Nothobranchius furzeri: one gene and its partners. The protein of the gene in region 1 interacts with the protein of each later gene in a pairwise test. Links are inferred from orthologs where the notes say so. Each region holds a gene or a part of one and is shown in the gene's direction. Other genes may lie near its edges.

Region 1 (6,024 bases):
ACACACACACACACACACACACACACACACACACACACACACACACACACACACACACACACTTATTATTTATTTGTTTGTCCCCACAGTAAACACAGGATGGATGCAGTCTACCAGCCCACATCACATGGTGGGGATGATGATAACGTGAGTATTTTAATGTATTTTTAATATTTTAATTGGAGTGTATGTTTGAAAAGGTCAAAGATGTCTGAGACTTGTTTTGTTTCACAGGGGGAATTCAAACAGAAGTCGTCATTTGTGGTGTAATCAACAGTCCGCTTACAGACTTGAACTTCCCTGTTTATTGTGATTTTTATAGTTTTTTTGAGTGCTGTTTCTATACATATGAGTGATGTGCTTTCAGAGTGACAATTGATTCAGATAATCTGCAGATTAAATACTTTTAATAAGAAATAAGGGAGTCTGTTTTTTTACATTTGTCGTGTTGGGCTGAAGCAGCTGCCCAGTGCGTTTCTACTTATGGAGTTATTATTATTTTGTTTAATCTAAATTCTGTATATCCAAGGTAATTGTTTACTATGAAGAAGAGAGAACAAAACCTCCTAGGACTATATAACAAATGCTGCTAATTAAAATACCTTCTCGAGTAGTTGTGCACCAACCAAGAAATACATTATCTGCAGTTATAACCTTACTTTAATATTTATAACTGCAGTTTAGCTTAAATGTTAAACTGATGTGGCTCAGCTCTGTTGGGGTGTTCGTTTTTCTCTGATGCATTGTACAAATTAGTTCTATTGAAGGGTTATTTTTGTAAATAAAGCTGCGTTCACTTAGAAAATTATTAGACTTGGTTGTCTCAGCGCTTTTGATGTTGATAAAACATTATATGATATTGTAATGTTTTTATTTTTTTACATTTTGTGCATACAAATTGTGTCACTTTTTTGATTTGCGTAACATCTTGTTGAATGCAATATGAAATCTTTTACTTTTTAAATAGACAATGAAATTCACAAATTTAAAAGCATGAATATTTGTGCAAAAACGTGGGTTGTGTGTTTTTTAGGGATCAGATAGAATAGACATTTATATGAACTCGGTAGTTGTAGTTTCCAAACTCAGAAATGTTTTTATACACATTTTTTTAAAAGTAATTTGGTTGTAATGATTTCAACTGATGTGAAAATACACTAACAATATTTGAAAACTGCTTTTGTCATTTCTTTTGTAAACAGGGTATACTCCATTAATAAAAATAGGTCTTTTGTGTCAATCTCAAAATTCACATAATTGATTTCATCATCTGCATGATTTTGATGTACAGAAGTTCATGTTGTGTCTCCATTAAAATTCAATCTGTAGTTTGTGTGCTGCTTGTCTTACACATATTTACACATTTTTTATAATTGAAATACAAAATGAAAAATAAATTAGCATGGCTAACACCATTATGAATTAACACAAACATATTTCAGTTTGAGTCTTGATTTTAAATACAACCCAATTTAAAGACATTGAAGTTCAAAATAATGATTTATGGTATTTTGTAGGCTATGAGAAAATAAATATGCTAAAAGCTTTCTGTATTGGCTAGTGTTGCGTTGCTGTGGTAACGTGATGGCGTGCAACTTCCCCTCCTGAAAGGTGCGCATGCGTATAGGATCGACATCCTATTACGCAAACAGGAAGTGTGAGCAACATTTTCCACCATTCAACCCTTACACAGGATTTATCCTCAAAATGCCCAAACTAATCCTAATACTTGTTCGCGCACTTACTATAACAAGTGTTTTATCGGGAAGAGCTTGTGTTAGTCATAGTTCCGCAGTAAAAAATGGTCGGAACAAGATTTACTGTCTGCTCGCAAATACTGTACTGTCCCTTTAATTGAAGGGGTCGCGCGCAGCTCGGACGCAATCGTTTAAAAGCTCCATCCCAGGCAGGCAGCTCCCCCAGTGTCCATTCATAAAACAAAACATCGTGTAGAGAGAAAGTTGTCGATTGGTTTTTCTTCGGTGGACTCGCAGGAGCTGGAATATGTTCGCATCTGTCGGGGACATGGCCCAGAGAGCAGAAGTGACTTCCCATGGCTGAGCCCCCTGCTGACGGGTTGGACTTCATGCTCGAGCCGCCAGCAGCAGGAGGCAGCTCGTTCCACCTCAGACCCAAAACATGCTCATTTCCTCGCAGCGTCTGGTGATATTAACTCGCTTCCGTTAACACGAAGTCACTGTGGGTTAAATAGCATATGCGTTTCCGTCCTCCTCCCTCTTCCTCCTCTCTTTTAATCTGCTGATAAATGAAAGTATACCAGAGGAGCTGTGGACCTGACATGCCGATGGGGCTTTGAGTTATGGCAGCCAAAGAGGAACTGTATGCCAAAGTGACACCGCGGAGGCAGCGCCAGAACCGGCCGAGCACCATCAAACATGGCTCTACGCTGGACGTGCTTCTGTCCATGGGCTTCCCCAAGACTAGGGCGTGAGTGCACTGTACACACACACACACACACACACACACACACACACACACACACACACACACACACACACACACACACACACACACACACACACACACACACACACACACACACACACACACACACACACACACACACACACACACACACACACACACACACAGCAGCTGATCCAGGAGCAGCATCGTTTGTTTTGTGTCCTGGTCTACAAGTTTCCTTTGAATCCAGCATCAGCAGGACCATCTCTGCTGCTTCTCTCCATGTTCCTGTCTCTGTTGGGTCTTTTTGGATGAAACTGTAAATGAGGCCAGATATTTTCCTAACCAGGACTTCTCAGTAAAGCTGACAGTAGCCTATGTGTCAACTATTTGATTATTTGGGCTTTTAAAAAGTTTGCTGGTTTGATATTCTCTAGTTTTAAAAGTAAGCAACATGATAAACATGACTGATAATGCTTGATAATATTTAATAAAGTAAACATTTGTACAGATTATACCACAATGAAAACACCTACACCTTGTGTAGACTGAGACAGGCCTACTATAATCTCATTTTTCATTGAAAAGCTTAGCCTCTCGTACATATTTTCATCCATTTTTGATTGAAGAAGTTGCCTGGAAACGAGCAGCATTGGCTCCTGACAGCAGGCTGTGAATTATGTAATTATATGAAACAAACATTGTGTCCATTCATCATGTGGGTTCTAGCTAAACGCCTCGCTCTTTAGCATGTACTAAACATTTAGGCTAAATCTGTGTTATTGTTACTTTAAAAAAAACATGTTGTAAATTAAGAGTAATCATTTAAATCCAATAAATCAAACTATATCTCAATTCATTTTCAAGACAACAAAGTTAGTAAAAAAAGGTGGTTTCTTTCTAACACGTTGGATAACTCACAAAAGAAATGTAGTAATTAGTATCAGTATCTGTGGCCAAATATGAATAGATATATAACAAGTGATGTACAGATGTGTTTAATTTTGCTAACTCTTCTCAGAATCTACCTAAAGTCCTCACAACGACCCTGTGTCATTGTCTATGAATCCCACGTTAAATATTAAGCCTAACTATTTAACCATAAAGGTCTTTTGTGTGTGCTATGGGCTCATTATTGTCTCCAGATATGAAAGGAGAACTAAAATGATTCTCTTGCTGTGGCAGGAACCTCACAGCACCATGGTTAGAGGCTTTTACTTTAAGCCTCCCTTTGTTAAACAAGGGTAATGATGAAAATGTTGATTATATTATTCTTTTCCAGCATGATGCAGTATCTATTATATAAGTTCATTTAAACCATGCAGGCTTTGGTAATTCACACTTCAGCTCTCTCATCCGGCTTTAAAAACCACAAAGTATAAAGTCTGTGGCTGAGATTCAACTGGAAATGAAAAGTCAAACCAACTCAGGTGTTCATTTAGGTGTGCACAAAGCTCAAGGATGTCTCTGGATGTGTTTTTAACACACACAAGTTTAGCAGCTAGCTGGTGAAAACCAAAACTAGAACAAAAACTAGGAGAATTCGAGATTTTCTCGCAATCTAAATAGAAAAGATTCTGTTCTAGAGGTCGACTGATTTTGGTTTGGTATATTACCAATACCAATGTCGATTTTTAGGAGACATGGTCAGCCAGTGGCTGATATACTGCTGATTTTTATGTGCAGACTTTCATGGCCTATATCCAGATGTTTTCCACCTTATTTTCATGCTAAAATGTCACTAATAACATCAGCTGGTGCACAAAATGTCTGAAGCTGAATCCGTTTTTGAACTCTGACTTTAACTATCTGTCAAATCTTCACTTTATGCACCGCTCAGTGTTAAAGCCAGGCATTTAGAGTATTTACTACGCAGATGTTATTAGTGAACGTAAAATTACATTTAAACTAAATTGTGCAACAGCACACAGATGGGTTTGACTTTAAATTGGCTTTTCTAAGAGCAAATATTGGCCGATGTATAAAAAAAATATCAGCTTGATATAAAGTGTAACTATAAGGAAACACATCTTCATAGAAGGTCTAGGATTGTTTGCATGAATTGATGTTTAGCAGTTTTAAGTTAATTCAATCCAGGTTTATTTATATAGCGCCAAATCACGACAAGAGTCGTCTCAAGGCACTTCACAGTAAACATTCCAATACAGGTCAGTTCATTCAGCCAATCAGAAAAAGTTTCCTATATAAGGAACCCAGCAGGTTGCATCGAGTCGCTGACTAGTGTCAGAGACTCTACAGCAATCCTTAATGCAGACTGAAATGCGTAGTTCCTGTTATCTTGGCCCTTTCTGCCTAACTCTTTAACTTTTCAGGTTTTGCTATCAGACTCCTTTTGCAGATGTTGATATGAGAGAATAAAACCAGAAGTAAAAGGGAAATCAGCCATCCATCATTGATTTGAGCTACAAAGACCTCATTGTGTTTGAGGTTTTTTTAAACATTGGGGGAACGTGAATCATGAACCGCCTCACGCATACAAAAAGAAGTGGACATGACTCGTCCACAAAGTGAGCCAAGTAATCATGATGAACGCTGCCGTCTTTGTAACGGTCTCTGAGAAATGATGCAGCATTATGACAGGTCAGCTCTGAGTAAAACGGGCTGATCAAAGTGTCACATGTCCGTCTTTTAAAGCGTCTCTGACCTATTTCCTGTTGTAAGACGTCCATAATACATAATACGTACAATACATAAGGTAGTTGTGTTATTAGGGTTGGACTTGTAGTCATTATAACAGCAGATAACATGTTGCTGCTTCCTTTAAGCATTTTAAAATAATCACTTCCTTGTATCACCGTGGTTTAACTTGTTATACCTTGCCTCTTCCATTTATTAGACCTTCCTCTTTTATTGTGCATATTTGTCTTTACCAGTGCACTTAAAACCCTCTGCATGCTCATGAATCAGTATTTTTTTGTGCTGCATGAATCTCACTAAGACGCTATTAAACAGGGTTTGTCCTGCTGTAAATGTGCTGATGTAGGGCTATTTTTGTTGCCAGAATAGTTAAAATACTGTAAATGTGTTATTTAAAATGTCATTCTTTAGCCGAGCTAACTGGAATTAAATACCAAGGCTGTGGAAACAATCCAAGTATTTGGGTTTAATACAGTAACACACGTTTTTAACAGTTGTGACATTTTAAGGAAGTGAAATAATTCTCAATTTTTTTTCAAACAAATGAACTTACGGCGTGAGAAACAGACGTCTGTGGCTTTTTTCATGCTTTTCACAAAGCAGGTGTTTTACCTACAGTGGCTGTATAAAATATAAAAAGGAAGAACTACTTTTATGTTTGCTTAATGTGTTTGTGTAGATCCTCTTTCTCACGTGTCATGGTCCTCTGAAGCCGTTTCGCCTCATTCCAAACGTTTGTCTGACTCTCAGGTTTCATGTTGGGAAGTGAAAATTCATAAAATGGTCAGATTAAATTATTCAGTGGCAATCTCAAGAGCAATTGGGCGTGTTCTGAATCTAAAAATCCCTCATAATTTATAGTTGTACACACGAGGAGCATTTAAAACTCCACAATAACTTTCCTTCATGTATTTATCCGAGTGCATTCAGACGATTTTT
Region 2 (6,056 bases), on another chromosome or scaffold:
CAGAAAATAATTGGTGCCATTCAAAGATGGTTGTTAACTCAAGGAGGAAGAGGATGTACATAAACATGTGCATAGGATAAAGACAATAAAGTTGATCTCTTACTAAATACATTATTTACTAAGAAATCATAATGCAGCATTAGAAACGCCACTAATTTAATGAGGTTCAGGTCAGGTGATTGACTTAGCAGTTTCTTTTTCTGAATTTCAGGTCCAAAGATGAGAACTTCCGTCTTGTCTTGATTTAAAAGCAGAAAGTTTAGAGTCATCCATTTATTTATGTTATCAAGATATCAAGACAGGCCTGTAATCTGCCTACTGATTAGGTTCATCAGGGTTAATGGATAGATATAACTGAGTATCATCAGCATAACAGTGGAAGTTTATCCCATGCGGTCTAATGATTTTACCAATTGAAAGCACATATACATATATATATATATATATATATATATATATATATATATATATATATATATATATATATATATATATATATAAGAATTGGTCCAAGCACTGGACCCTGTGGTACTCCACAAATAACCCTGGTGTATGAAGATGTGTCATGTATGTTTACAAAAGAATTATATCAGACAGGTAGGATTTAAACCAGCCTAGCACTGTTCCTTTGATCCCTACAACATGTTCAAGCCTTTCTACAAGAACATTTTGATCAGCTATGCCAAAAGCAGCCCTGAGATCTAAGAAGACTAGAACATTGCATTTACACTGAGAGTAGGAAGCTGTGTGCTTCACTTCAGGGTCTAAAAGCGACACTGCTCACACCCGCTTACTTAGGAATGACACTACGAACTTATCCGTAACACTTTAGCAGAGCCATGTCTGCTTTCCTGAGAAGGCCATGTAAACACAACCTGGCCATGCAGGGGAGGGCTGTCTCCACCCAGCCCAAGCCAAATGAGCCATTGGAGTGATGGGCTTTATTTTCCAAAATGGTTCAAATGAAGGAAACTAGACTTCTTTGGTTTTCTGGAGACATTTTGCTTCTCATCAGCTTTGTCAATTCTGACTGCAGTATTGGAGGGTCAAGCTTATACATTATAGCTGTCTATTGTTATTTAACAAGCAGAAACTACTCTGAGTAGCCCTCCTCTCTCTCTAAATATGGTATAGTATTAGAGGAGCAATGGGATGTGCTGAAGAAGGCTTTGAGCAGTGGTTGTTCTTTCCCATCATCAACACAAGATCTTTTACAGCAACACTGGATGGAAAAAAATCTTGTGACACCGTCGAAGCTGTGGGGTCAGATAGTGTAACACAACAGTATGAAATGACATAATTTACTGTCTATATTGGGAAGTTTATCTTAAATTTATCTCAAAGTTAACAAAATATAGGAAGAAACTATATGAAAAAACACAAAGCTGCATTTGTCATCACAATCCCTCCGACTGTGGAAGCTTCCAGTTCTCAGATATGTCAAACTTAAATGGGAGACTGTTTTTGTCAGGAACCGCCCACTGCTGTAAATATAATTACCTGACTCTGGTCCCTTAGGTCCTGGGCATGGCTGGGTGAAGCTGTAATTATTGACCACAAATCATTTTTAGGAGTTGACCATTTAGCCCTTTGGGTTTAGGTTTTTCTCCATGAAACCTCTGGTTGAACTCAGACTAACAGCAACATGTTTAAATTAACTAGTTTCTTCACACAAATTCACAGATGACTCCATCTGTCTGAGACACCAATTAATCAACAATCAGCCAGACGATAGTTGAGCAATCAGACAGCAGCAACATCTCTGCCTCTGAGGAGACCTTTAGGATTTCATCAGTTTATTGTACATCAGTGTGCTGCTCAGCCACCTCAGGGTTTAACCTGTAGTCATGTCGATGGTGGATTCACCTGTTCAGGGATACATGAAAGCCGGTGAAACACCTTCTTGTGTGTGTGTGTGTGTGTGTGTGTGTGTGTGTGTGTGTGTGTGTGTGTGTGTGTGTGTGTGTGTGTGTGTGTGTGTGTGTGTGTGTGTGTGTGTGTGTGTGTGTGTGTGTGTGTGTGTGTGTGTGTGTGAGATGGTAGAAGGACGCTGCAGGAGGAAGCGAAGCAAATCAGTCACATTCACAACTGTTAAGGAATAAGTCCCCACTGACTCTCTCTCTCCCTCCTTCTCTCTCTTTCTCTCCTCCTCCCGTCTCCCTCCCTCCCACCTCCTCCTTTCCCTCCAGTTTCCTGCGCTCCTCTCTGCTCTTCATTCCGTCTCAACTTGAACTAACCACTCAATTGTTTTTTTAATGATACCCCGAGCGCTCATTCTGCCTTTCTCCCTCCATCTCCCTTTACTCCCTTCTTCTCTCTTCACCACCTGTTAGTTGCCCGCATCTCCCTTCTCTGGAATTCCTCCCTTTTTCCTCCCTTTTTTATGAGGAGTTTCATTCTTGTTCTACCACTGAGGTAAGACAGCATTTCATTCTTTAATTATGAGATATAAGGGGCTTGGACTGTTTGTGTTCGTTAATTAATAATTTGTGTATTTATTTCATAATTTGATCATATCATGAGACTTTTTTGTGATTTCAGATCTACTTTTTGTGTCTTGTCTTCCGCAAGCATTATTTCTGCTGCAGCAGACGGGCGCAACACGTGTCTGTCTTAGTTTCTCTTTTCCTGCTCCTTCACTTCGCCATCTCACACACACACACACACACACACACTGACGTTTACTCATCCCTGCCTGCCTGAAAATATCCAGACTCTAATTGACATGCCCTGACTGTCACTGTGTGCTTAGTTATAAACGATGCTGCCTATTACCGTCTAATGAGAGGCTTCACTGTGCAGCACTGTACCACACCATCTGCCTGTCATCCAGGAGCTTGTTATTTAAAGGTGAGCTGCGTCCGCTTCGGGGTACGAGCACAACACAAGAGCAGCAGAGGAGAGGGTAGGAGAAGTCCTCACACAGCTACAGGTGAAATAAAAACATCTGAGAGAGGCGGAAGGAGACCCAATGAGACAAAATAAGAGGGAGAAGCAGAGAGGTGAATTTCTGATGGTGATGATGAAAAGGTAGGGGTTGAGGAGGAGAGCGACCATGCCTGTCATATGACTCTAATTCAAAGTGATGGAGCTAAAAGAGGAGGGAGGGGGAGGCTGCATGTTGGACAGAGATATTCCTGATGGATATTTTAAAAGCTTCCTCCTAAATCTGTAAAACCCGTCAAAGAGCAGAAGGAGTGTTTATAGCTGCAGGGATACGAGCTGGAATGTATTTAAACTCACGGGAATTAAAGTCACATTTGGGATGCTTTAGGTAGATTAAAGTTGTGTTTCACCACACACAGATGAGCTGAAGAGGTGAAGTCTCTATTTTTCTGCATTCCTCTGGAACAAAGGAGGATGATAGATGGAACGATGAGAGATGTTGCAGCTGGCAGCAGGTGAGCGCTCAATCATGAGAGATCCGAGCCTACGGGCTTCACGGTGGTTCTAGTGCTGCTGCTGGTGTTCGAGCTGCCCCAGCTCACAGACACATCTGTCAGAACTGGGGGGGGGGGGGGGGGGGGGGCGAGTGACTGTGCACATTATGTCAACACTCATGCCCTCAACAAGCAAGCATTCGTGTGTGTGTGCGTGCATGTGCGTGCTTTGATGATTAATGCATTCTACCTAATAATTATCATTAATTACAAACTCATTCCTGGTTTTTGGTCTTGGTGATGACAGGGAGCTTCATTCACTTGTTTTCTTCAGCTCTCAAATCTGTTTTGCTAAATTTGAATATTCAGTTAAGGTGTGAAGGGATTCATGAGGCCAATTACTGCAACTGCTGATTAAATTGTGACAAAAAGTTGCAGATTTGATGTTGACATCATCGACTGAGCTGTTCACAAGGGCCATAAAGCTTCTGCTGCTTTTCAAAAGGCAAGGATGTTCATGGTCTCTTGTCCCCGAGCCAAAAGCCGGTCACAGTCCTTTCAGTCAGACGAAGGGAGGAAGCTGGTTCTGGTGCTGGCCCGCCATGACGCGTTTCAGAGGCGGCCGAGCTAAAGCTGGATGAGCCGTGGTACGTTCTAACCACAGTGATGAGACTCGACCACATATGATGAACGACCTGCTCTGCTTTTAATTTCACTGAAGGTCAGCAGTCAGAGGCAACGCTTTCAGAGTCAGGGCACATTAACTTCATCCTGATGAATGTAGGCTCTGAGATAAAAACCCGTTTACTGGTTTTGACCTTTGAAACAAAATGTGTCAACAAATAAAAGCATCTGGATCATCTGAAGTGCACAAACTAAATAATCAGAAAAACACATTTCCTAGATTGAGGATAACTGAAGGATGAAGACCCTCACTATGCTGTGTCTGTTTGATGATTTTCTCAGAGAAAATAAAAAATACTGTTGAGGGATCAAAACCTCATAAAAACATCACTGCAGCACCTGTAGCAGATGGCTGACTTCACATCTGATGATGATCTTGAAACAAACACTCAGCCCCCTCCAGAAACATTGAGGTGTTTGGTTGTAGACAACAATTTCTGTAAAATGCGTCATAAAACATAAGTTCTGAGTTCAGATTTTCAAATTAGACTTCATCTCACTCATCAGTGCTACTTTTAGTTGTAATAAGCTCGCTACAATCTTCAGTATGTTACACAATTTCATCTAAATGCATTTTTGAGTGATTTTTAAAGTTTTTTATTAATCATGAATTAGGGATTATTTAATGACTCTGCTGTCTTATTAGCTACTTTGTTGTTGACTTTGAGGACCCGCTCGAAAATGAGATGTTACATCTCAAGCGGTTTACATCCTCATAAAACATAAGTAAAATAAATAAATGAAATAATAAATGCACTATAAATATCACTATAACTTTAGTATGACATGATTTATACATTTATTTACTGTATATAATATCATCAGTGATATTGCTTAATATTTGTGCTAAAATAACCTTGTAACATGGCAGTTGTAAACTTTGTAGTTGGATCCATTTGAAACAGTTTGTCCAAGTACAAGCTGCTCAGGAAGAAAGCCACAACGAGTTAAATAATAGCTCTTCATTACTTTATTGTTACAATCTGGTCTTAAAAAGGTGAAGGAGGGTGTAACACAAGGAGACGCGTGCAAGAAGTAAACAGTAGGTTTTTATTTGCATGGGGAGCTGGGTGCTAGTAACAAACTTAAGTGATAAAAGTTTTAAACAAGGTGACAATGATAAAACAATCCGAACTACAACTAAAATTAACTCAGGAGGAAGAAAATCAGCAAGCTTCTAACTGAAGTCGACTAAAGTTAAATCCACTATATGAACTAACTAACGAGGCTCTAAGGCTGTACCAGTAAGCTAACTGAGGGCTATGGCATCAAACACATGTGCAAAGCACTACGGCTCTCTGGTTCACTATCCGTGTTCCAACATGACCAGGGGAATCAGCACAGATCAGGTAGCCTCAGCATTTATAAGCCTCAGCAGTTGTCAGTTGATTAGGAACAGCTGTGTTGGTTGCCTTCAGGACGGAGGTTGGATGGGAGACCAAACGCAGCGCGCCGCTGTCCGTGGTGCTGATCATGGGGAGCAGGAGATGATGCTGTCTGCCCAGATATTCTCACATTGGTGACTCAAACTGGATTATTTTTTGACAATGAACCTTGTAGTTAAACTGTTGTAGACAATGAACAAAACAAATCTATTTCATAATTTTAAAGTGTTTAAACCATTTATTGCCTAAAAAGCGTCTTGTGATGTTTAATCAAGTTTTTAGTCCAATTTCAAATTTTTTCCACTGTGTAATCTGTTCATAACTTTTATGGACAGGGTTTCTAAGCACAGCCAAGGTGTTGAGGGCATCTGTTATGGTGGTCTAAGGATCGGGTCTTTGCTTTTTGCAAATGTTGTGGTCCTGTTGGCTTCATCAGAACGTGATCTCCAGCTTTCACTGGAGCGGTTTGCAGCCGAGTGTGAAGCGGCTGGGATTAGAATCAACTCCTCTAAATCTGAGACCACGGCCTTAAGTCAGAAAATGGTGAATGCCTTCTCTGGGTCAGGGATGAGGTCCTGCCCCAAGTGGAGGAGTTCAAGTATCTTTG
Region 3 (6,085 bases), on another chromosome or scaffold:
CGTTTTTATTAATGTACTTAGCAAATTTGTTTGTTAATTACTAAACTCGTGACAATATTTCCTTTGAAAAATTGTGCTTACACATTTAAAAATGTTAGAAAAAAATACATGGCCATTTTTAACACTTTATTGAATGCAGATCAAAGGGCAGTAACGGCATTCTCTGACTGAACTTAAAAACAACATTCAGGAGGTTTAACTTTGAAATGCAAATTTGGCTGCAACATCTAACAGAAATAAAAAAAAGTGCCCTACTATCTCCTCGATCAGCGCGGACTTTACCTCTCAGCATGCGCTGTCGCGAGATTTAATCAAGTGCGGTAATTGCGGTGGCACGTCATGCAGCGCGGTGGGTTTCTTAATATCGTGATATATTGTTCTTGCGATTATTGCGACAGCCCTAATGTGTGTGTGTGTGTGTGTGTGTGTGTGTGTGTGTGTGTGTGTGTGTGTGTCACAAAATTAGTTTAATAAACATACTGGTTAGATATACTGACAATCATAGTGACTACGTCTAAATAAATAGCACTGAAAAGGAAAACTGTGGGAGCTGTGCAATGGCATATATTTCTTGATCATCCCAGAACTCCTGCTGCTGGGAACATTCTCAGATGTAAAGAGAGCCAGAGATCGGTGAACAGAGGTGAAGACAGGATCCACATCCACTGCAGAGATCACCACATCAGAGCTCTCCTCAGTTAAACACACTGAGACTCGTCAGATAATCAGCAACTTGTTATGTTGATGAACTGATCCCATGAGCAGTTTCTCACTCAGCAAACACGTCTGCGTTGCACTGATAGCACAGGAAATATAAAAAAATACAGTGAATCTCACACGTCCAGCTGAGAGTGAGCATTTCGCAGCAGCAGACCATCATCCACCCCCACATGAGGCTGTAGGCAAAATCTACTGAAAACAATGAACATGCAGTAACAAGTATTAAAAAACTATATCGTAATATTGTAGTCAGTGTTGGGAGTAACGTGGTACAAAAGTAATTAATTACTGTAATGCATTGCTTTTTGCTGTAATGTGTTAAAGTAAGGCATTACAGGGAAAGAAAAACATTTACTCGGTACAATTGTCAGTAACGCGGTAATTACAATGCTTTTTTAAACCCAGAATCAGTTCAAATTGCGGGAAGCCTGAAAAAAGATCCAGTATCTACATATATGACGTCATTTATGGACTCAGCTTTGCGGGCGTTCTATGAGCAGAGAGGACGCAGCGGTAATGGCTCAAATACTCCAGCTGCGTCCTGCGCGCGGCCGCTGTTATATTCACAAAATCGCTCCACCAAAACCAGTGGCGTGTCCATATCTTTTAAAATGGGGTGGCCCAGTTGAGGGACAACTTTGTGCATGGGTGGCACCAATGGTTATGCTTTTTTTGTTTTACCCCCAAGCCTTTTGTGGACAATGAAAAGCCTATTTAAAGGTAAATTAGTGTGATGGCACCTGGGGTGGCCAATCAGATTCCAAGGGTGGCATGTGCTACCCCAGGCCACTCCCTGGACACGCCTCTGACCAAAACAAAGTAATTCGTGTGCGATCGTTTATATCAGTCCATATTCTCTGGTACTTCATGTACTTTTCAGCTGACTTCATAATCTGTGCCCCGGTGATTTCAACTTATTGCTGCTGGAGCGCAACGAATATTAAGCTTTTTTTAAAAAAATGTTTATTTTATTTTTTTGTGGGTTTGGTAGATCCCTTTGGCTGATTAGTTAGAAAGTAAGAAATTTAGGGAACAGTTTTTCTGGAAGACGGAGAAAACATGCAGCATGCAGGAAGGTTAGAGAGAAAAAGGGCAGGAAATTATTCAAATAAAATCAAGAAAACAAAACAAAGTGCTTCAAAAGAAAAAAGTAGGTAGATTTATCCCCAATACACATTTTTACCAGTGAAAAGCAATAATATATAAGCATTTAATATTTATACATGTGATAGAATCAGATCACCCCAGAAGTCAGTCCCACATCCAGGGCCATATCAAGGCATTTGGGGACCAAGGCAAATATAGGCTTGGAGCCCCCACCATGCTCAGTTAATATAAGATGGCAGCGTGCTGAGAGTACAGATTGTTGTTGCTTTTATTTAATAAACAATAATTTTAAAGCACTGTTATTATATCTGACTGTTTTTAACAGCAACCCTAGCTAGCTCAGACACATCGACATACATATATGGACAATGGGTTTCCATAGACTTGCTCTTGCATTGTGGGGGCTTGCTCAGACACCACATCACTTTCCACATATATGTCATGAGCTCACTGAGCGTCAGATTACCAGATTCATATTGAAGTTGTATTGTTGAAAGTAACTTAAAGTAGTTCAAAAGTAGTTTAATGCCTTACATTTTAAAATCAGTAATATTGTAATGTAATGAATTACTTTAAAATGAGGGTAACAAGTAATAGATAATGCATTACAGTATTGAAGTAACTTGCCCAACACTGATTGTAGTACGCACTTAAGTATTAATTTCATTTTACGTTTAGCTAATATTTAGGGTTTTTTGTGCTTTTCATATTCCTTTAAAAACAAATCTCATTTCCTCCAGAAGGGGGCGCGCGCGTGCAGGTGAAACTGAGCGTGCGTCCGACCGCAGATAAAGAACGGGTGACGTAACCACTTCCACAACAACAAGAAGCTGAGAAACAAGGAAGTGTCAAGCCGTAAGCTATTATAAGGCCGAGACAAGATACACAAAGCGCCGTTTAATCTGATGTTCCTCAGCCTCCGAATCAGTCCACAACAATGAATAACAAAGGTATTTCTCCGTCGTGTGTTTCATTTTCCAGCTAGCTACTCGTTACTTGACGTTGGCGTTGTAAGGAAAGACGAGGAGCTCGCGTTGTGGCCAACTGAAGCTACGTACATAACAATAAACTGACGCACACTCCGAACCAAGCTGTCTTGGATATTGCTAACGTCGGATGTCCGAATTTAGTTTCACATTTTGTTATTTGACCAAAACGGGCCGGTCAGATGTGTTCCAGCAAGCTAACGTGATTATAAAAGCAAATCTGACATGGCTTTCCTGTTTTTGTTGGGGAGGGGGGGAGTTCTTGTTAACAAAGAACATCCCGGTTACATTTATGTTTTTAGACCTGTTCGGCGCAAAAATGCACCAGGTTGTTTATTTCTTCTTTTGTTTGTCTTATTTGAGCTTAGATTGTCTTTTTGTAGCATGACATCTTTGTTCGTGGCTAATGCTAATGACATTTCATGATATTTTTCTTACTGAATTAATTGTTTCACTAAAGCTAAAATAGAAGCAGACATTTTATTCAAACTGTAATGCGCGATGGTCGATTTGTCATGTTGGAAAGACAAAGAAAATGTAAAATTCACATTTGTTTACTAACCACCAGGCTTTTGTGCGTTGTGTTAATCAGATTCGGCTTTATAATAAAATCTTCCATTTACATTTTATTAATTTCTAATCCGTTCACTTGTGTTTTTACAAGTAATACATTTTTACCCTTTGCTTATACTGTCTGGGCTGAGAAAAGTGATTATGTCTAGTTTCCTGGTATTGTTTGCCATACAATGCACTCAAAACAAAACTAGAAACTCTCTTGGCAGTGACAGACTTGCTACAGTCATCACATAGTTTGTTATAATTATGCACAACAGTTTCAGTTGCTTAAATAAATCCCCCCTGATGATATTAAATAACATGTTTCCATCAATATTTAAACATTGTTCTTTCTTTTACTGCCGCCAAATGTTGGACCTAAAGACACTTTGTGTCAAAATCTGGTTTTTGTTCTTTTGTCTGTAAAATGTAGAAACGTTCAAAGTTGTACCCGAAAAAGACCAACGTTAGCTTCAGTATACAAGACATTGGGATTTTCTGTAACGTGTACCACTCAGTAGTTGCGTTCACATCAGTAATAATTTCATGTATTTAGCTGTAAATGTAATCAGCTCCCTCCCATCTCCACTCAGAAGCAGCATCAGTTTATTTATGATGATGATGATGATTGAGAAGAAGTACTTGCAGCTTAATGTTAGTAGTCAAAGTCATTAGTAATAATCAGGGATGTGTATTTTTGTAATTCTGGCGATACGATACATATCACGATACAGGGGAGACGATACGATGTATCCTGATATATTGCGATACATTCAGTCAGACGTTACAAGCTATTTTTTACTGAATTTATTATAAGCATGTTCAATAAACAGTCAAAACTGATATGTAACATGTTTAACATGAGGTATCTGAACCATGATGGAGGGATTTACAGTTCAATGGTGGAAACAAAACCCGTTGCACACTGCTGCCAACTAGCGGGTGGCGATTGAATTGCACAAAACGAAAAGAAAATACACAAATGTTTGCATGTTTGCATTCTTTCAAGAATTAGATACACGGCTTTTGAATATCAATGTAATAATCACAGGGAAAAATATCACGATATATTGCCATATCGATATTTCCTATATGCGGCTTTTGAATATCGATATAATATTGCTGGAAAAATATCGCGATATATTGCCATATCGATATTTCTGATACACAGCTTTTGAATATCGATATAATATTGCTGCGAAAAATATCACGATATATTGCCATATCGATATTTTCTTACATCCCTAGTAATAATGAAACGGTTCTCATCCCATAATTCTTCAGCTGTGCGTGTTTAAAAGTGAAATGTTGTTTTGCAGGCTCATACCCACAGCAGGCTGTGTACCCTCAGCAGAGCTCTGCACCTGTATACCCTCCTGCTATGCAAATGTCTCCTCAGGCACCTCCATACTCAGACACACCACCTGCATATTCTGAGGTAACGCTTGCATCTACAGGTCAAGCCTAGATTAGCTTTTTTTTTTTTTTTAGTATTCTTCAATTAAATCTGTTTCTCGTGTCTTTGTATGCAGATATACCAGCCCAGATACGTGCTTCCACCTCAGGTGCCTGGTCAGGTGCCTCAGATGTCCTCTCCCTACCCTGGTGCTCAGGTGTACATGCCCATGCAGCCACACATGCCCGTTGGTCCGGTGGGCCAGAACGTTCCCATGGCTTACTATCACATGGGAGCTGTTTACCCCCCTGGTTCAACAGTGATGGTGGACGGTGGCTTTGATGCTGGAGCTCGTTTCACAGCTGGCAGCAGTGTTTCCATCCCAGTGAGTACGGAGTGACTTAACCTGTAGCCAAGGCCTTTGTAACTCTTAACCTGCCACTGAGCTCGTTTCTCCTCTTCTCTAGCCCCCACCCCCTGGACACCCCCCTAATGCAGCTCAGCTGGCTGCCATGCAGGGTGCCAATGTTGTCATGACACAGCGCAAGAACAACTTCTTCCTGGGCGGATCCAGTGGAGGTTATACCATCTGGTAACAGCAGCTACTCCCCTCCTTGTTTATGCCTAAACCGTACCCCCGTCCCAGATGATTCCCCAGACCCTCCCTTACTCCATACGCCTTCCTCTTCAGGCTGCTTGGCCATGCCACAATACTGATATCACCTAATGGAATGTAATATTTTAGAGCCCTTTGTGAAAGGTACAGTACTCCACTTCTGACCTAGAGATGACCGTCGCCGCTTGGAGAGGACAAAACGCTGATTTTAAATGTTGTGATACTTCCTGTAATCTTTCATTTGACCGAATCTCTTAAATCATTCCAGATTGGACTTCTTTCAGGCATCTGTTCAGGAGACCCGTTCTTCTTTGATCAAATGGCCACAAATGGCACTGAGATGTCCTCTTCTTCCTGTAAAACCCACAGAGTCAGAACACCAGACCTGCATTACCTAGTTTAGCTGCTTTATGGTGAAAGTGAAACGCAAAGTTGCAGTCAAATAAAAAGAACTCTCCACCTGTCTTTTTTTAAATATTTAGTGTAGTTGAATTAATCGGTGTGCAATAGTTAAATGTGTAAATACCAGTAGGATGGTCATGAGACGCCACATCTCAGCTCTATAAGAAAAAAACAAAAGATTTGGCATCCTTGATGCTTTTAGTTAGAACTGTCTTGTCTTTTGCACAGTGTCAAAAAGAAAACCACATCAAATTTGTTGCACAGTGAACGGTCTGAGAGACCGTTCCGTTTGAATCAGCTGTA
Region 4 (6,061 bases), on another chromosome or scaffold:
TGAACCACAAACTCGTTGGCATTGTGCAGAAGAGAAGCGGAGCCATACGCCTCTCCCAGAGACAACAGGGAAAGACAGTTAGAGAGATCCATGGATCCTATCAGAAAGTCACTGCATGCTCTGGACAGGATGGAGACCTGAACACACAGCATAGTAGGTTAAATTATCATGAGATAATGCTAGAATGTACTCAGTGTGACTGAAGACATGTTTATGGTGCATCCTAAGGGTGAGGCATTCTGACAATGATTGTAGCTCTACCTGCAGAAAAGAGGAAATCTGAAACAGCATGTCCACATTCCCATCATTGATGAGAGTCTCTCCAGAGTAGGCAAAGTCCAGGAAAGAAGCCACAGCCACTGGACACTGATGCAGAGTTACTGATCCATCACCACACTCTCGCATATCTACCTCAAACATGGCCCTAAGCACAGCAATTACATGAATTAGACTGTATAGACAGACAGACAGACAGACAGGCAGAAAGACAGGTAGGCAGGCTACCTAAAGAAATCACTGCATGCTGCAAGAACACAGCGATGACAGGGGAAACTTTGTTCCTGTACCCTGATGATGAAATCAAACAACAAGCCTCGTTCTCTGAAGGACCTGAGCACACACAGAAGCTGCAGTCCATGGGTCTCTGACACACGAAGCAGTGTCCGTCTCTCTGGGAGCCCGTTGTCCTGTGGTGCACTAACAGTTTGACCTCTGGGAGGGCTGGAGCTGCTGGGGTTGTGGGAGGTAGTCAAACTGGCAAGTGACTCTGGATACTCATCCATATTGCCAAAACCTAAAATAATAATAACAATAACGATTATGATTATGGTTGCACAAAACAAATAAATATGTTTTGTATTTGCAATAAAAAAACCACTAAAAATAAACAATAATCTATTCTAATAACTAAAATAAACAGTGTGTGCACGCTAAGAACAAATTACTTCAGCAGCCCTATCATTTACTCTTGTCTCTATTTTAACCCTAAAACCAATATATGGGTGTTTAGCTCACTTGCGGCTCAAGTTAAATTTGTTACACTTATGTCGTGTTTTCATATCTCAAATATGAGACTGTAATACACTTGAAACTATTCAACAAAGCAATGTGGAACGAGAAGAGATACTCACGGGTTCAGCACCTCGGATAGCTCCTGTCACGTTTCGTTCTAACCTCCGGAAACGTAAAATAACGCGATAACTCGCGCAGCTTTTTGTTTTGGGTTTTTTCTTGTCAGGTCTTTGGCTTCTTACATAATTTAAATTGAAACTTATTTTGTTCAAGCGACAATTATAACACACTTGTCATAGCTACAACGGTCTAGCTGTATGCTAGTGTGCAGCTTGAGGGACGGGAGCGCAAAGGCGCCTGGGAACTGTAGTTCTCTTTTTATGAGAGCGTATGATAAAACCTAAACCATCGACATATATACGGTTGAAACATTAGCCTATAGTGAAGTCCGACCTAGGTCAGCATCCAAGCGATGTCAGACATCTTTTCTTTTGTATTTTTTAGAGAAATGATGCTAAAACCATTCTGCAGACTCAAAATGGGCTAGCTAACTGAAACACCTAGACTTTTTGCACTTTTAACTAATCTATAATAATTGCATAAGTAATTGCACCTGTGTATACGGCAATAATGCATTTTTGGGGATTAGTTGGGACCTCATAAACATAGGCTAAAATAAAGACAGTTTTTACAATATTTTAAGTTTATATAAAACTAAATAAAAATAATTTAAATAAAAGCAAGTGTCCTTGAATAAAACGACTTTATGTGAGGATGAAGGGTCACAGGAGGTCTTAACCATCACTGTTATAAAATTCATAATTTACATTTTCTGGTTTGAACTTTCTCAACGAAAATTATTAGAGTAAATAAAATAATAAATCAGTACTAAGATTATATATAAGTGTAGGTATATATTTAACAAAAATGCCTAAAGAAATCCTAAATTCCCATGCTGGATCTTCCGAGTTCACTATTACCCTTAAATGCATCATAACCATCAAGTGGTGCATGCTGGTGCATTCATGGCCACTTGGTGGTGCTGTTTCACTGTGGAGAAAGCAACGGATAAAGCATGGGACCGAAATGAAGAGTGAATAAAACAGAAGAAAAAAAATCTGTATTGGTGAACATGAACTTCCACATATCCTGCAGTTTAATTTAACCACCACGCGCAGTTTATGACAAAATAACACGATTCTTCTGGTCTGAAATATGAATACATACTGATCTACAGTCAACGTGATCTGAATATGTAATAATAATAATAATAATAAATTAATGTGATTTTTTTAAAAAGGAATCATAAAGTCTTTATCTTGATCATTTTTCATCAGTAAACCAACCTATTCTATAGGAATGATTAAAGGATGGATATATCCGGATGCCATTCCCATAAAACAAAGAACTGCTGTTCAAATTGTAATTGTGAATAATACAAATCTATTTCCTTTCTATTATTAGACACCTTCCACTTTACATGTATCGGTGGGTCATGCCCCCACCTCTGCTTGCATCCCTGCATCCCTCCCTCCTTCTCTCCCTCCCGGCGGCAGTGCATCCCCCATCCCCCACACGGTGGCCGTCTCTCCGGTTGAAAGCTGTCTTCCCAGCCGCCTCTGGCCCGACAAAACGCTGCTGTAGCAGAGCCAGTCCGCACCAAGCCGAAGCTGAGCAGAACCACGGGAGAGTGCACGTACACACCAGGGGGAGTCTTTTTCTGTTCGACCGGGTGGTTTTGGTGAGTCTAACACGCTTTTTATTGCGGACGGAAGGAACGTCCATGTTTCTACTTTTTAAGTTGTTCGGTTTTTTTGTCTGTTTTTTTCCCTTCAATTGTCCTCCGTGAGGAACTAGCGGGCTATGCTATGCTAAGCGGCTAGCTCAATTAGCGGATTCTACAACTTGGCGCATCGGGAGTGTTTTAAGTTATTTACGGTCAGTCGTTAACATCGACCCTGGCTTTTCACGTGCCGCCCGGTCAAACTCAACCATGGTTAGTGTTAATTGTCTTTTCTAATCCGTTTCCCCGGCTAGAATGCTAATTATCGATTTGAGCAGCGTGTACGGATGGACGCAGGGATGCGGCGGTGGGTTAGCGGTTGTCTTTTCAGCCGAGCTTCCAAAGGCTAAGCTAATGGTAGTTTTATATGACACGGGTTCCTGCTAAGGTGTGCTATAACAGCCACTCTAAATTCAGCCAATCTAGTGTTAATTGGCAAGATGGCATCTCGGAGTTGTTATCCAGAAATCGGTGGATTTTCAAAATGGTGTCTTAAGCTTGTTTGAGTGTGACCATTTTTGTCCAACCAGTGCTGTTTTGGCTCCAGTTGCTATCTCTGTTATGCAGCGCATGCCATGCTTCGATATAATATCATGTAAATACTCAGCAACAACAAAGTAAACCGTGTCCTCAAGGCTGCAGACTGCGTTATTAGGCGTAAAGAAGATGTGTTTTGGGTGGGTTTTATTTGTCTCTCTTGGCTTTAATGCTGTCAGGTTCAACAGGAAAGAAGCATGACGCACATCCCAGCACACTGCTTTATCTGGATGTAATTACGTGTTTACAAAATGCATCACTGGATTGTTTTTATATTTTAACTTTTTTAATTGTGAATCCCAAAACTAATAGTCACAGGTAGGACTTGTGTCTTTTGAAAGACGTGATAATCTTACTGTTTATATTGTTAAACTGTAGGGGATGGTGTTTTTTCTCAGTAGTACTTAAAGAGACAATGTGTAGTATTTACCGGTAATCTCTGCAAATATCCATCGAAATGTTGTTGAAAACGAATAAAATGATGCCCAGTTGTAGAAAAACATTGGCAACTTCATAACGTATAACCTTAAAATACATGGAAGTCTTAGTCTCTGGGTGACACCATATTAGATGCCATGTTTCTTTTTATGGGAGCCAGTGAGGACATAATACATTCACTGATATGTAACAGTTACAAAACTTTATTCATTCATTAACATTGTTTTACACATTTACCTCTTCACTCGTTGCCAGTGATGAAAGAAGTCTGGTGTGCCTGTCATTTTGTTGGAGGTTGCACTCCCAGGGATTTTTTACCCCAAATGGCCATCCATTGGTAAGGTCTAAAGCCTCATTCATTCTTCTCCATCTGCGCAGGTGAGGAGACACGTAACGCTATTATGAGTCGGTGCAAGGGCTCGACAGTCTCACAGAGGGTGACAGAGACATGCCCAAATTTTTAAATATCTGTCAAAAGTGACGGAGAATGCTAGCTTGTGATTAGTCAGGACACCGCTTCCTTTAAATGTGTCAACAGCTCCGCCATTGTCCCGTCAAAGGTAAAAAGATATTTAGCGGCAGACACGGAACAGATTGAAGAACTCATCATGGGAAAAAATCCAAAAATATGAACGCGTATTCACCCGTGACTGAAATGTGGAGCAGATGTTTTATTAATGGACAGAAACGATGGGGAACGTGGGTTTAGAGGTGGCGACCACTTGAGATGTGGAGGAGGATGAAGGACAAATTCGCCTGTGTTATAAAGTCTCTGAAGTATAAAAACACATTAGTAAATACACCATCATGGACCGGATATATGAGTGTAATGGTGGCATGATGCCACAGAACAGCGCTATGCCCTCTGTTGTCTTGCGAGGAGTTGCTTTGCAACACTCCCCAGGAGACGAAGTGAGAGAGCAAAACGTCTCTGTCAATGCATGTGTGTCTCCCTTTACAGAGCTGACAGAGAAATATAAACCAGACTTAAAGCTTAATTTATATTCCTCCGTCAGCTCCACGAGGGAGACACATGCACTCACAGAGACGTTTTGCTCTCGGACTTCTCCATCTCCTGGGGAGTGTTGCAAAGCAACTCCTCGCCAGGACAACAGAGGGCACAGCGCTGTTCTGTGGTATCCTGTCATGTATCTGGTCCAACATAGAGCATTTACTATTCTGTTTATATTGTGTTTTTTGTATTTCAGAGACTTTGTAACATGGACAAATTTATCTCTCATCCTCCTCCACCTCTTAATGTGCTCACCACCTCTAAACCCACATTTCCCATCATTTCCGTCCACGGATAAAAGCTAGCTGCGTATCTTTTCACTCCCCCAGTCATGGGTGAATAAAACGTTCATATTTTTAGAATTTTTCCGTGAGGCATTCTTCAAGCTTCTCTGTGTCTGCCACTAAATATTTTTGGTTTTCTTAATGTTTTTTAGGGCGCGATGGCGGCACTGTCAACGACAGTGGCATCCTGACCAATCACAGGCTTGCGTTCTCCGTTTCGTTGGACAAATGTTTAGAAAAGAGAACTCGACTCCGTCCTTGCAAGCCTCCTGGAGAGCCCTCGAAAGGACAGATAATGGCGTTGTGTGCGTCCATCCCGACTCAGACCGGGAAGAATAAATTAGGCTTAAGTCTCTTGATGACGCCATTTTAGATTCTGTTTTCTTCTACCTCTTCGCTTGTTGTCGGTGATGAAAGGGAGTCTGATGTGCTCCTCAATTATTTATTAGAAACACTTTATTTTCATAAAATACAAACAATGTCATCTTCTAGTTAATTTTTATAAAGAAAATAATTTTAGACAAATGAGAGTATATTAAAATCAACAACACATCCTTTCTGGGATCTTCACACTGAAATTTGATATTGGCAGTTATGAACTAGGATAAATATTTTTTATTCTAAAGATGCAGTAAAAAGCGAGTCTAAGCTAAAGCGAATGCATCTCTCTTCAAAGAGTTCAAATGATTACAGGTCCTCGTTGGATTGCGTCATCAGCCTAAGGTGACCTCTGCCTGGTTATACTGTGGGGGGTGTCTCCTGTGTGTGAATAATGGAGTCTACAAGGCAGCTGTAAAACCGTCAGACCATTGAAAGCTGGAGCCATAAAATGTTTCGACAGAAAATGGTTCTCTTACAGACGACAGTCTTTTCAGCACTTCAAATAGCATAACGATTAGCTTGCAACAAACAAGTGAATTAAACAAATGGCAGCTGAAGAGTTCGGCTAACTTCCGGTTTATCTTGTCCAGATCTGTATCATTCGATTAGATATCT

The links.
Region 2: the proteins of ubash3ba (region 1) and double C2-like domain-containing protein alpha interact in binary tests that used the Homo sapiens proteins (3 or more experiments, as listed by UniProt). The link is inferred for Nothobranchius furzeri from reciprocal best matches to the Homo sapiens genes UBASH3B and DOC2A.
Region 3: the proteins of ubash3ba (region 1) and dazap2 interact in binary tests that used the Homo sapiens proteins (3 or more experiments, as listed by UniProt). The two-hybrid records come from large-scale screens. The link is inferred for Nothobranchius furzeri from reciprocal best matches to the Homo sapiens genes UBASH3B and DAZAP2.
Region 4: the proteins of ubash3ba (region 1) and fam168a interact in binary tests that used the Homo sapiens proteins (3 or more experiments, as listed by UniProt). The two-hybrid records come from large-scale screens. The link is inferred for Nothobranchius furzeri from reciprocal best matches to the Homo sapiens genes UBASH3B and FAM168A.

Annotation. Positions count from the first base shown.
Region 1 is NC_091750.1:47,702,490-47,708,513, reverse strand, and holds the start of ubash3ba (ubiquitin-associated and SH3 domain-containing protein B), read left to right. Parts: upstream 1-2,117; 5' UTR 2,118-2,320; coding exon 2,321-2,448; intron 2,449-6,024. Other genes in the region: f11r.1 (F11 receptor, tandem duplicate 1), read left to right, coding at 90-147, 235-270. UniProt on the Homo sapiens protein: Interferes with CBL-mediated down-regulation and degradation of receptor-type tyrosine kinases. Promotes accumulation of activated target receptors, such as T-cell receptors and EGFR, on the cell surface.
Region 2 is NC_091756.1:34,725,515-34,731,570, reverse strand, and holds the start of double C2-like domain-containing protein alpha, read left to right. Parts: upstream 1-2,479; 5' UTR 2,480-3,360; coding exon 3,361-3,401; intron 3,402-6,056. UniProt on the Homo sapiens protein: Calcium sensor which most probably regulates fusion of vesicles with membranes. Binds calcium and phospholipids. May be involved in calcium dependent neurotransmitter release through the interaction with UNC13A.
Region 3 is NC_091755.1:37,293,357-37,299,441, reverse strand, and holds the start of dazap2 (DAZ-associated protein 2), read left to right. Parts: upstream 1-2,613; 5' UTR 2,614-2,764; coding exon 2,765-2,777; intron 2,778-4,687; coding exon 4,688-4,806; intron 4,807-4,900; coding exon 4,901-5,149; intron 5,150-5,231; coding exon 5,232-5,360; 3' UTR 5,361-6,085. UniProt on the Homo sapiens protein: In unstressed cells, promotes SIAH1-mediated polyubiquitination and degradation of the serine/threonine-protein kinase HIPK2, probably by acting as a loading factor that potentiates complex formation between HIPK2 and ubiquitin ligase SIAH1.
Region 4 is NC_091753.1:35,545,823-35,551,883, forward strand, and holds the start of fam168a (protein FAM168A), read left to right. Parts: upstream 1-2,558; 5' UTR 2,559-2,752; intron 2,753-2,886; exon of another isoform or gene 2,887-3,007; intron 3,008-6,061. Other genes in the region: kbtbd3 (kelch repeat and BTB domain-containing protein 3), read right to left, coding at 1-137, 262-424, 505-782.